Nothobranchius furzeri: one gene and its partners. The protein of the gene in region 3 purifies or fractionates together with the protein of the main gene of each other region. This does not show direct contact. Links are inferred from orthologs where the notes say so. Each region holds a gene or a part of one and is shown on either strand. Other genes may lie near its edges. The genes, in order: cct7, c16h10orf88 and nedd1.

What was found.
Region 1: the proteins of nedd1 (region 3) and cct7 purify together in Homo sapiens (affinity purification with mass spectrometry; 3 studies listed by BioGRID and IntAct, counting the BioPlex papers as one, with this or other methods). This does not show direct contact. The link is inferred for Nothobranchius furzeri from reciprocal best matches to the Homo sapiens genes NEDD1 and CCT7.
Region 2: the proteins of nedd1 (region 3) and c16h10orf88 purify together in Homo sapiens (co-immunoprecipitation; 3 studies listed by BioGRID and IntAct, counting the BioPlex papers as one, with this or other methods). This does not show direct contact. The link is inferred for Nothobranchius furzeri from reciprocal best matches to the Homo sapiens genes NEDD1 and C10orf88.

What each region holds. Positions count from the first base shown.
Region 1 is NC_091754.1:61,255,890-61,259,646, forward strand, and holds the start of cct7 (T-complex protein 1 subunit eta), read left to right. Parts: upstream 1-958; 5' UTR 959-1,076; coding exon 1,077-1,082; intron 1,083-1,909; coding exon 1,910-1,993; intron 1,994-2,149; coding exon 2,150-2,219; intron 2,220-2,307; coding exon 2,308-2,414; intron 2,415-2,485; coding exon 2,486-2,664; intron 2,665-2,740; coding exon 2,741-2,912; intron 2,913-3,757. Other genes in the region: krcp (kelch repeat-containing protein), read right to left, coding at 58-219, 471-532. UniProt on the Homo sapiens protein: Component of the chaperonin-containing T-complex (TRiC), a molecular chaperone complex that assists the folding of actin, tubulin and other proteins upon ATP hydrolysis.
Region 2 is NC_091756.1:51,774,938-51,778,594, reverse strand, and holds part of c16h10orf88 (ATPase PAAT), read right to left. Parts: intron 1,985-3,657; coding exon 1,873-1,984; intron 1-1,872. UniProt on the Homo sapiens protein: ATPase that regulates mitochondrial ABC transporters ABCB7, ABCB8/MITOSUR and ABCB10. Regulates mitochondrial ferric concentration and heme biosynthesis and plays a role in the maintenance of mitochondrial homeostasis and cell survival.
Region 3 is NC_091744.1:80,535,711-80,539,412, reverse strand, and holds the start of nedd1 (protein NEDD1), read right to left. Parts: upstream 2,956-3,702; 5' UTR 2,884-2,955; intron 914-2,883; 5' UTR 906-913; coding exon 770-905; intron 1-769. UniProt on the Homo sapiens protein: Required for mitosis progression. Promotes the nucleation of microtubules from the spindle.

The DNA of each region.
Region 1 (3,757 bases), on a different chromosome or scaffold from region 3:
ACTGCTGCTCCACGGGGGGGTGGATCGAGGCCACGTGCCTGTCCAGCATGAGGCTACCTGTTATAAGGAGTGAGTTTTCCTATAGTGATGGGGAACCGATCAGCATCACTGAGCTCCGCGTTCACGCAGATCCTCTCCCCCCACGGTCCGCAGCTGAACACCACCACCAGCTGGACGGATGGAGGAACTGCAACAGAAACTCTGCACGACCCGTCCGCACTGACATGAAAAAGGACACACACACACACACACACACACACACACACACACACACACACACACACACACACACACACACACACACACACACACACACACACACACACACACACACACACACACACACACACACACAAATGAATCAACTGAGTATTTTACCAGAATGTTTCATTGTACACTGTTCCTAAATGGGGTAAATGCATGAGAAACAGTAACAGACTCTAATGTTACGATAACAGTATGTTTCCTACCTCAGCAGCCTTTGAGGCGGACCGTTTACTCCAAAAACTGCATAAACTCCAAACTCTTCCATTCTTAAAGCTTTCTTTTTATGTTTTTTCTAATTAGTTGTAATTTAAACACAACTAATAACATAAAACAGCTTCTCCCGCCACCAATAGGTGTACGGTTTCTAAACGACGCGCGAATTCTGGGTAAGACATTATAGGCGCGCGTTTTAATAATTGGCGTCTCCCATGAAATTTGCAAGTAGGGTTAAAGTGAATGCCCCGCCCATGCTGCACATTGTTCTTTGCAAATCAAGCGCTCTCCAGACTTCACTGACAGACGTAAAAGCTACATTCAAAGACTGTATGAAATGTTAAGATTTTGACTCGGCGAATGACATTTTAATTAAGTCCGTTTTGATGACCCAGAAATACGGAAGAATATCTGAAAATTATTAATGAATTAAATGTATTTTAATATGTATTTATAGCAAAAAAATTACAGGCAACTTTACTTCGGAGGAAGAGTTAAACGGGAATCCGAGTCGTCGTGTGCTCTTGAATGCACTCCATCGAAAAGCATTATGGGTTGGGAAACCGGTGGAATAGCTTCTCGAAAGAACTGCGAAGATGATGGTGAGTGTGCTTTAGCTTTGTAGCCGCGGAATCATCTTATAATCCGTGCCCATCCTTTAGTTTATCAGACACGATGAACATCAGGAATGTTTTATCTGATAATGCACACTGTTAGCCGTGTTTAAAAGGTGTTATTGCGTAGAAATAATCTGAAAGAAGCTGTTATTGTTAGCCATTCACTGCTAGCATCTTTGTAATCAATGGGCGTTTATGACGGATGCTAAGGGCGATGTCAGGTTTATAGTTTAACGTATAATTAGACAAAGATAGTTGCATATTTTTTAAGTGCTACGCATTTATTTGAGTATAAATGGACGCATTACGCATTTATTTGAGTATAAATGGACGCATATTAGTTCATGTTAGCTTACCAACATATGATTGAACCAAAGCCATCTCTTGTTAAGATGTAGCTGCTCATTTTGGTCGTTTTAATTAAATCAACAGTGACAGCTGTTGTCCAGGTTTTGCTGCATGCTTGATGGTATTAAACCATCACGTTAGCTTAAGCAGCATCCGTTTGTTCCCTTATTTGGTTAAATGCTGGTTATTGTGGATTTGATGTCTCTCTGGTGTTGACATGAAATTATATCTGATATTGAATTTTTATTTATGCTCTGATGTGACTGCAAACATGATCAGCACCACTAAAAAGAAACCCGCCAAATTAAACCCTCACAGATGAAATTTAATCTTTATACCTGAACGTAAACAAGACTCACTTTTTATAAGATAGATCTGTCCAGGCAGCACCAGGACGCGAGTGATCATGGAGATGGATGCCTTTCTAGTTGATCTGGTTTAATGTTTTTGGCTTCGTCCCGCAGCCCACACCGGTTATCCTGCTGAAGGAGGGGACAGACACGTCTCAGGGCATTCCCCAGCTCATCAGCAACATCAATGCCTGTCAGGTCAGAGGAAGTTGCTCTTCTTTTTCCACATTTGGGTGAACTGAGGTTTTGTTGCGGTCTCTTCTCCCTCAAAACTAAAGTCATCTGTACTGTAGATGTCTCTGACCCTGAACTATGCTTCAGTCTCTAAATGTAGGGTTCTGTTTTCTGCTGCAGGTGATCGCTGAGGCTGTCCGGACCACTCTGGGGCCCAGGGGCATGGATAAACTCATGGTGGACAGCAGAGGTGTGAAGACGTCAGATAAAAATGAGAAACATGTTTAGATTTCAGCGTTTTAGTCGACCGAGCTGATTAATGTTTGTATTTTTTTTAGGTAAGGCAACAATTTCCAACGACGGCGCCACCATCCTGAAGCTCCTGGATGTGGTTCATCCTGCAGCCAAGACGCTGGTGGACATCGCTCGCTCCCAGGATGCTGAGGTGAGATTTGTGTTCGTCAGCGATGTCTAAATTCTCATCGTCTCGGACTGACTCGTGTTTTTTCCTCTCAGGTTGGGGACGGCACCACATCCGTCACTCTCCTGTCCGCCGAGTTCCTGAAGCAGCTGAAGCCGTACGTGGAGGAGGGTCTCCACCCTCAGACCATCATCAGAGCTTTCCGCACCGCCACCAACCTCGCCGTCAGCAAGATCAAGGAAATCGCCGTCTCCGTGAAGAAAGATGACAAGCAGTGAGTGCTGTCCTCTGGTGGCGAGGTGTCCGTCCATGGTATGAGGTTCGATCCTAAATGTCACGTTTCTTCTCAGAGAGCAGAGGCAGCTGTTGGAGAAATGCGCCGCCACCGCCCTGAACTCCAAGCTGATCGCCGGTCAGAAGGGGTTCTTCTCCAGAATGGTGGTGGATGCCGTCATGTCTCTGGACGAGCTGATGTCTCTGAAGATGATCGGCATCAAGAAGGTCCAGGGAGGAGGCCTGGAGGTTGGTGTTTGCTGTTCAGTTTCACGTGAAAGTCAGGAGGAGGAGTTTACTCATGAGTGGACCAGATCACCTGTGGACAGGTGTAGACGTCCCAACCTTCACCCAAACGTTCCACAGCTATGAAGCTAAAGGAAGCAGGCTTTATTTTCTTCAGAAGAGCATCTGATCTTCACCTGTCTGTCTCCGTTAAATGTTTGCACCGTCGCGTTCCAGTCACCACTGGGTTTTTATTAATGGGAAGGTGAAGACGGCTGTGTCTGAGATTGAGGAGGAGCAATGTGGTTTTGGTTCTGGCCGTGGAACTGTGGACCAGCTCGATACCCTTGCAAGGGTGATGGAGGGGGCATGGGAGTTTGCCCAACCAATCCACGTGTGTTTAGTGGATTTGGAGAAGGCTTATGACCGTGTCCCCAGGGGCCAGTGGCGGTTCTACATCGAATTACTCCCCGGGCGAGGCCCCCTTTGAGCGCCCCCCCCAACCCCCCCCCCCCCCCCCCCCCACCACCACCACCACCACCACACCACCCCACCTGCATGAACACACGCATGTTTTCTACAAACAGGCATGTTTTATTAGAACGACTATTGAACATTCATTTTTCTAAGTTGCACATATTTACATTAATTACTATGAAGTTGTCAGAATGTAAAGCACTATACATTATATACTGTATCAAAATATATAGAATCAAATATACAAAAACAAACAATAACTAAATATTAAGAATATATGAACATAATAGATAATAAATATTCTAAATAGCAAAAATATTTCACACATAACAAACTAAAGATAATCACTACAGCATTGCACTTAGAACAGAAAACACAAACTAAAATTAAAA
Region 2 (3,657 bases), on a different chromosome or scaffold from region 3:
GGCTGAAGAGCCACATGTGGCTCCAGAGCTGTAGGTTACAGACCCCTGAAGAAGAGACATCCAAAAACCTAACTCATTAACCAGCTTACATTACTTAAGCGCCTCGTGATTTTTATCTTGAGAGGCGGTATAGAAATGATATTTTCTTCTTCTACATAAAAACACTTTCTGTGCGCATGTAAACGATAGAAAACAAACAGTGACTTAGACATATTCAGGCACTTTTCCGACAGCTTTCACATGAAGAATGCTTGATGACGAGTTTTTAAGTAAAATCTGAATTTTGGTTCAGGAATTTATTTTTAGTATAGCGTGATGAATTGTCCATTTCGGACCTAAAAGGCCCTGCTCTATTTGCTCTGCCCAAGCAAAACCATAAGTTACTGACACAGGCCTATTCCACAAGATATGGGCCAAGGCCACTCACGCTTTGCTTTTATCTAAACTGTTGCTTCTCCGAACAGCACAAGAAAGAAGGAAGAAGACAGAACTCTTTCCCTTTAAATATTAATAAATCAAAGAACTCTTTCTCTATTTTTAATAAGCTAATCAAACAAAGTGTTAGCCCAATAATAAAATGTGAACCAATCTGTGAAATGACAATGTTTATGATCAGTAGTATTTTAATAAGTAATATAACTTTAAACTTGCTGCACTAGACATTCTCATCCACGTAATGCTTAAAGTCACATGACACATTTCCTTTTTCTGATCCAATCAGAACCTTCCAGATCTGACACGAGGCGTGGTTTTGTTGGTGCTTGGTACATCCCCTCTTGTTGTCCTTTTATGATTTGACCGTAAATCAAAACATCCACATCATAAAACTATGCCCACGTCATCTTAACTTCAGTTCAAAGCGTTCTAGAGAAGTTATCGGAGTGGCCATCCGTAACTTTCCTCTTAAAGCCAAAAGAACTTAACGACAAGCTGGATTAAATCTGTTGCATGTTCCACCTGCTGCAACGGTTCCTTTCAGAATAAAAGCTGAACCATCACGACCCCTTTTTGGGTCTCGCTAGATGCCAATAAACTGTCGTGACCCGGAAGTATCTCAAGACTGGTCTGGTCGGCAACCGCTGCCTTTCTACCAGCTTCGGTTCCAGAGAAGGTCAAGCTGGACCTCGACATTCCTGATCTAACGGGGACTTCCGCAAAGGGTACGTAGACCGACAGAATGGCGTCCCAAAGTGTGTTATAATCTCCAACCTAAAGCTTAGAGCGAAAACATCATCTTCACTCCCATCAGAACTAATCGTTTCTCCGGATTTGTTGGTTCTGAACATATTTCACACATACACCATCCTCAGTCTTACTTCGCCTTAGTTACACCATACACCTAGTATTTAAAGTTAGTCTAGTCTTAAATTGTGTAGTAATAAATCTTCTTAACTTTAAAACTTGACTCTTTCTTTTGTCTCTGAGTTAATACGAAGTGGTTACATAATCCCTGCAATAAAAAGTTCCAATCTTCTGGTTTAAATTATCCAAAGATCCATAAGATTGATTTCATTTTTCCTATGGAATCTCACATTTTATGGTTCATTAAATAATATGTAAATTTAAACGCTACACTAGATAATTCTGTCTTTACCTTTCCTTTATTGTTTCCAAGATATTTAGATGATTATGTTGTTACATAGTAAAGCAAAATTCGGGTCTAGGTAAAATATTACTGATTTTGTAAGAATGTTGTACATGGCGCAGAAATATTAGATTTGATTTATTTTTCAGGGTGAAAGATCAAACGCTTTTTTGACGTGGATACATCCTCGTCTTTTTCTGCATCCTAATGTGTGACTTGTGTCGAAAATGTTAAACTCTCCACCTTATTGCATTACGAAGCATCATAACCAATGTGATGATACCTACATGTATTGTTGGTGCTGAGGTCGGACAGGGAGAGGTCTGGAGATGTAGAGCCCTCAGACATCCCTCCGTTCTGAGCTGCAGGTAAGTCTGCAGGCCTGATGCAGTCTGGGGACTACAGACAGAAAAATAGCCAAAACATTTCATTTATATTACAATAACAAGACAAAGTTCTGTGTGCATTTAAAGGGATAACTCTGCAGTTTTGGCTTGCTTTTAGCACCCCCTCGTGTCAGTTAGCAGAACAAAAAACAAAACCGTTGGTCACTGTAACACCTTCATCTAACAGCTGAAATGTCTCCACAGCCTTCAATAGTGTCTACAGGAGTGATTCATCACTACATTAAACCAATCAGCTGTGCTATCTAAAACATGCAGGAACATGCTGGAACCAGACTGCAGCACCAGGTATGTCAACTCAATTGTTTCTAAGTCCAACAGACCAGACCGGTAACTCTGAAGTTGCAAGTGGAATATCATGGCCCCAGGGAGCATTATGGTCTGGGTGGCTAGTCATTAACCCTGTAAAAGCTCATTTTAGCACATACTGGCTCAAGAAAATCATTTAAAAACACGAAAAAGTTGTTAAGTATCCCAGATTGTGAATTTGTTAAGTTAAATTTAAGCAGCTGCAGAGCTTCACTGACAAATTTAAAATCTGTTGAGTACACATTACTGGATGCTGCTGCTTTTATTTAGAATGTCAGAAAATCTTATATCTTAGAAACTTGCAGCTCAGTCATTAAACAGATTGATGTTAATCAAAAAGTAGCTGAATAAAACTATACATCTTTCCTGCCCTCTGATAGAGGGTCTAAATACTGGAGGTAGCAATTGCCAATTTTTTTCTATTTAGTTATACAACTACCTTAATTTTAGTAATCAATCACATCATAGGTATTTTAATTAAATAAAAAAAATATTTTCTGACTTTAATTTCATTCATCAAACTTTAAATGGTTACCAGAAATCTTTACTCTGACTTCTGAAGATCAAAATTTAGCTTCTGAAATTCAAATGTCATAATGTGTTGTACTTGTAATTACTGATAGAAACAGTACAGTGGTTTCCTTTCTGGCAGAGTTGGAAAACGACAAACCAGGTTCATTTCAAAACAGAAACTTATTTCAGAACCTGAGATCTGAGCAGCTCAAGTCATATCTATAGTTGCACTAGTTCAGTACCGTGCCTGAAGATGTCTCAAAGCTGTGCTTTTGACTTTGGCAGCTTTGTACCAAGAAAGCCAAGAAACTCTGAAACATTCCGGAAAAAATTCTTCCAAACAAAAAGGATGAACCAGTTTCTCCATTAATGAATCATGGTGAATACTGACTTTTGTACTTTGCCCACACAGATGTTCTTACAAGAAGAGAGAAACAAAAGCAGCAGATGCAAAATAATTTTGATAAAGCTTCAGTAAAATAATCTTTCTAAATGAAAAACAAAACTGAATCAGTTGGTTAAAATGTTTTTTTCTATTTCATTTTCCATCAATGACTGGATGCAAATGTCATCAAGACATTCTTGTCAGGATCTGAGGTGAGTGGTTCTACCATAACCTGTGTGAGTGCTCGATTGCAGGTGGGTGGAGCCGAGGAGCGGGCAGCTGCAGCAGATTCTCAATCACCGGTCTGTGCTTATAAGGAGCAGGGAGACAACCCCACCTCGCCGGATGATGACTCACTTTGGGTATTGCTCAACCTGAGATTGTGTGCCAACGCAACCTGTTTTGCTCCACTCTAGCCTCTCGAGTCCCTAACCCCTCTTCCTGTCTCCAGGTACCCTTTT
Region 3 (3,702 bases):
ACTCCCACTTCCTGTTTGAAAAATGCAACAAATACTGTTGCCTAGCAGACCGAGAGGGCGGAGCCGCTAACAAACACACACACAGGCTCACAATGACATTGTGACATCATATGGTACCAGCTAACGTTCTAGTGTACCTCTTAGCCAATAGTGATGGCAGATTTAAATTCAAATGCAGTGCAGAGTTTTTACCTGACAACGGCACAACACTGACAGTTTTAGGCAGAAAATTAAAATTTCTACTAAAATGCACTAAAGTGCAAAACTATTGACTACACGTGTCTGCAGCACGATTACACACATTTATATAGTTTATCAGAAAAAGAAGTTGATTTGGGGGTGATTTGCTGTTTAAGCATAACACATCCTAGCCCAATGTTTTTTTTATGTTTGTTTTTTTTTTAACCAGGGCGAGTGTTATCATTTGCGTAATGAAATATGAATTTTTCCGTGTACCCCCGTAATGCGCTCACGGACCCCTGGTTGGGAATCACTGCTGTTGTGCTGCCACACACACACACACACACACACACACACACACACACACACACACACACACACACACACACACACACACACACACACACACACGAAGTGTAATCTACAGCTGGCAGGTTGGGAGCAAACAGTAAACTCAAGAGGACGGAGGTCAGGTTAGGGGCGGGGCTGGGCTGGAACCTCCTGAAACGCCATCCTTGTTTGATCAGAACCAGAAACACGCTGACAGGGGCTGGTCCCCAACTCCACCTACAAACTAAAATCAGGATACTGTTGGAGCTCCAGCAGGCCTGAGCGACAGGATGGCTGCTGCTGTGTGGGTTAAACTGCTCCAGTGGTGCCATGGAAACAGCATCCCAGATCTTCACGCAGTCTCCGGTGGACACCAGACATGTGGCCTCCTCCATGGCAGCAGCTGGAGGCAAAATAAGTACAAATAATTACACTCCTGAATCGTTTCACAAAGTAAACAGCTTTTTTGATGCAGACGTTGTGTGTGTGTGTGTGTGTGTGTGGTGTGTGTGTGTGTGTGTGTGTGTGTGTGTGTGTGTGTGTGTGTGTGTGTGTGTGTGTGTGTGTGTTAATTTAAGCATCAGCCCTCTCCTCATTGATTTTAACTGAAACCAAACAGGAAGTATTTGGTCTTTTTTCTGTCATCAAATAAATAGAAATGTGTTATTATTACAAAGTCTAAATAAATTCTGACTTTCAGTAACAAATTCAAAAATAATGCTGGTAATTTACTGGCATTGACTGTACACAAACTGGTATTTATAGTATAACTAGTTTTAGCCAATATATAGGGCCAATTTTTTCTACTCTGCTTAAACACACCTGGTTTGAATCTACCTGGTGATTAACAGGCTGCTGCAGAGTCTGGTGTGCTGCTGAACAGGTGATTCATCCAGGAATCAGGTGTGTTGGAAAAGAAAAACAACTAAAACATGCTGGATAACAGCCCTCGAGGACCAGGATTGCCCACCCCTGCTATAGTACATTGTATCTAGTTATCATAATATAACTAGTATTTAGATGACTATAGTATATTTTATATAGTATTTATAATATAACTAGTATTTAGATTACTATAGTACATTTTATCTAGTATTTATAATATAACTAGTATTTAGATGACTATAGTATATTTTATATAGTATTTATAATATAACTAGTATTTAGATTACTATAGTACATTTTATCTAGTATTTATAATATAACTAGTATTTAGATGACTATAGTATATTTTATATAGTATTTATAATATAACTAGTATTTAGATTACTATAGTACAATGTATCTAGTATTTATAATATAACTAGTATTTAGATGACTATAGTGTATTTTATATAGTATTTATAATATAACTAGTATTTAGATTACTATAGTACATTTTACCTAGTATTTATAATATCAACTAGTTTTTAGATGACTTTAGTACATTTTGTCTAGTATTTAGATGACTATAGTACATTTTGTCTAGTATTTATAACTAGTATTTAGATGACTGTAGTACATTTTGCCTAGTATTTATAATATCAACTAGTTTTTAGATGACTTTAGTACATTTTGTCTAGTATTTATAACATAACTAGTATTTAGATGACTATAGTACATTTTGCCTAGTATTTATAACTAGTATTTAGATGACTATAGTACATTTTGTCTAGTATTTATAATATCAACTAGTTTTTAGATGACTTTAGTACATTTTGTCTAGTATTTATAACATAACTAGTATTTAGATGACTATAGTACATTTTGCCTAATATTTATAACTAGTATTTAGATGACTATAGTACATTTTGTCTAGTATTTATAATATCAACTAGTTTTTAGATGACTTTAGTACATTTTGTCTAGTATTTATAACATAACTAGTATTTAGATGACTATAGTTCATTTTGCCTAGTATTTATAACTAGTATTTAGATGACTATAGTACATTTTGCCTAGTATTTATAACTAGTATTTAGATGACTTTAGTACATTTTGCCTAGTATTTATAATATCAACTAGTTTTTAGATGACTTTAGTACATTTTGCCTAGTATTTATAACATAACTAATATTTAGAGGAATTTATAAACTAGGTTAGGAGCTCAGGAGCCGTTCGGTTTGAAACTCCTTTTTTTTTCTTCCACTCTTCGACCCAATACCATGTTTCTGTAATCGCTTTGACAGAAACAGCTGGACTAGTTTCAACCCGCTTTAGTTGGCGAGTAAAGGCTGACTAGCAGCTGTTGTGAGTTAACGCTAACTACCTAACAGCGCGCTTAGGCGGCTCTAAAGTTAGCGAACAGCCACAAGCCAGCCGGGAAAGTGACCCAAACGAGATTAAACTAGTTAGAAATGTTACAAGCTGATGTTTAACTAGGATGTTACAAACCTGCAGCCAGAAATAATCCTGTAAAAAGATGAAGATGTTGATATTTGACGCTCCGTCCAACAGGAACCGCCACTACGGAAAACCATAAGGGACAAAACCCCACCGGAACCAATAAAAGCGCTTTTTATCTCATCACAACAGAAACCTCAGTTTTACTTTACCGTCGTTGTGGAAAATGGCTGGATGCTTAAAATTAGCTTTTTTCCCCCCACTTCTCACACTGAATGAACGTTTATTTTTAATCACTGGACTCTTTAGAGCTGCACTTACAGCCAAACCTGTAGCTTTATTTGTAAATTTCCAATGATCAAACAGAACAATCAAGTTATGTGATTTACAAAAACAATCCCCACATCGAAAACAACAAATCAAAGACACACATGTTCCCCTTTCTGAGAAAATCATTCCACAGAGTTCACAAACTGCCCGTTTATAGAAAAGATTAAACAAATGTTAGACACCGGTGTATGTTTTGGTGCAGTATTTCTACAAATAAAAATACATTTGACTCAGTATATCAAGAAATTCTTCTGTCTAAATTAGTTTCTTATAACTTTGTTTAGATACACTTCAGTTGATGAAGTCACATATTTATATACCAAGAGACAGCATGTCTGCATTATAGATGCTCCTCTGGGGTCAACACTTGGCCCATCTGTTATTATATCAAAGATCTGCCCGTGTTCATGTGTTAATGTCAAATTTAAAATGTATGCATATGACGATGTTACCTTCATTTTGGCAAAAACAAAAACTCAGGAAGCTGCCCCATTCTCATTTTAGCTTTAGTTCCTGTAAATAACAACACAACTAAAATCA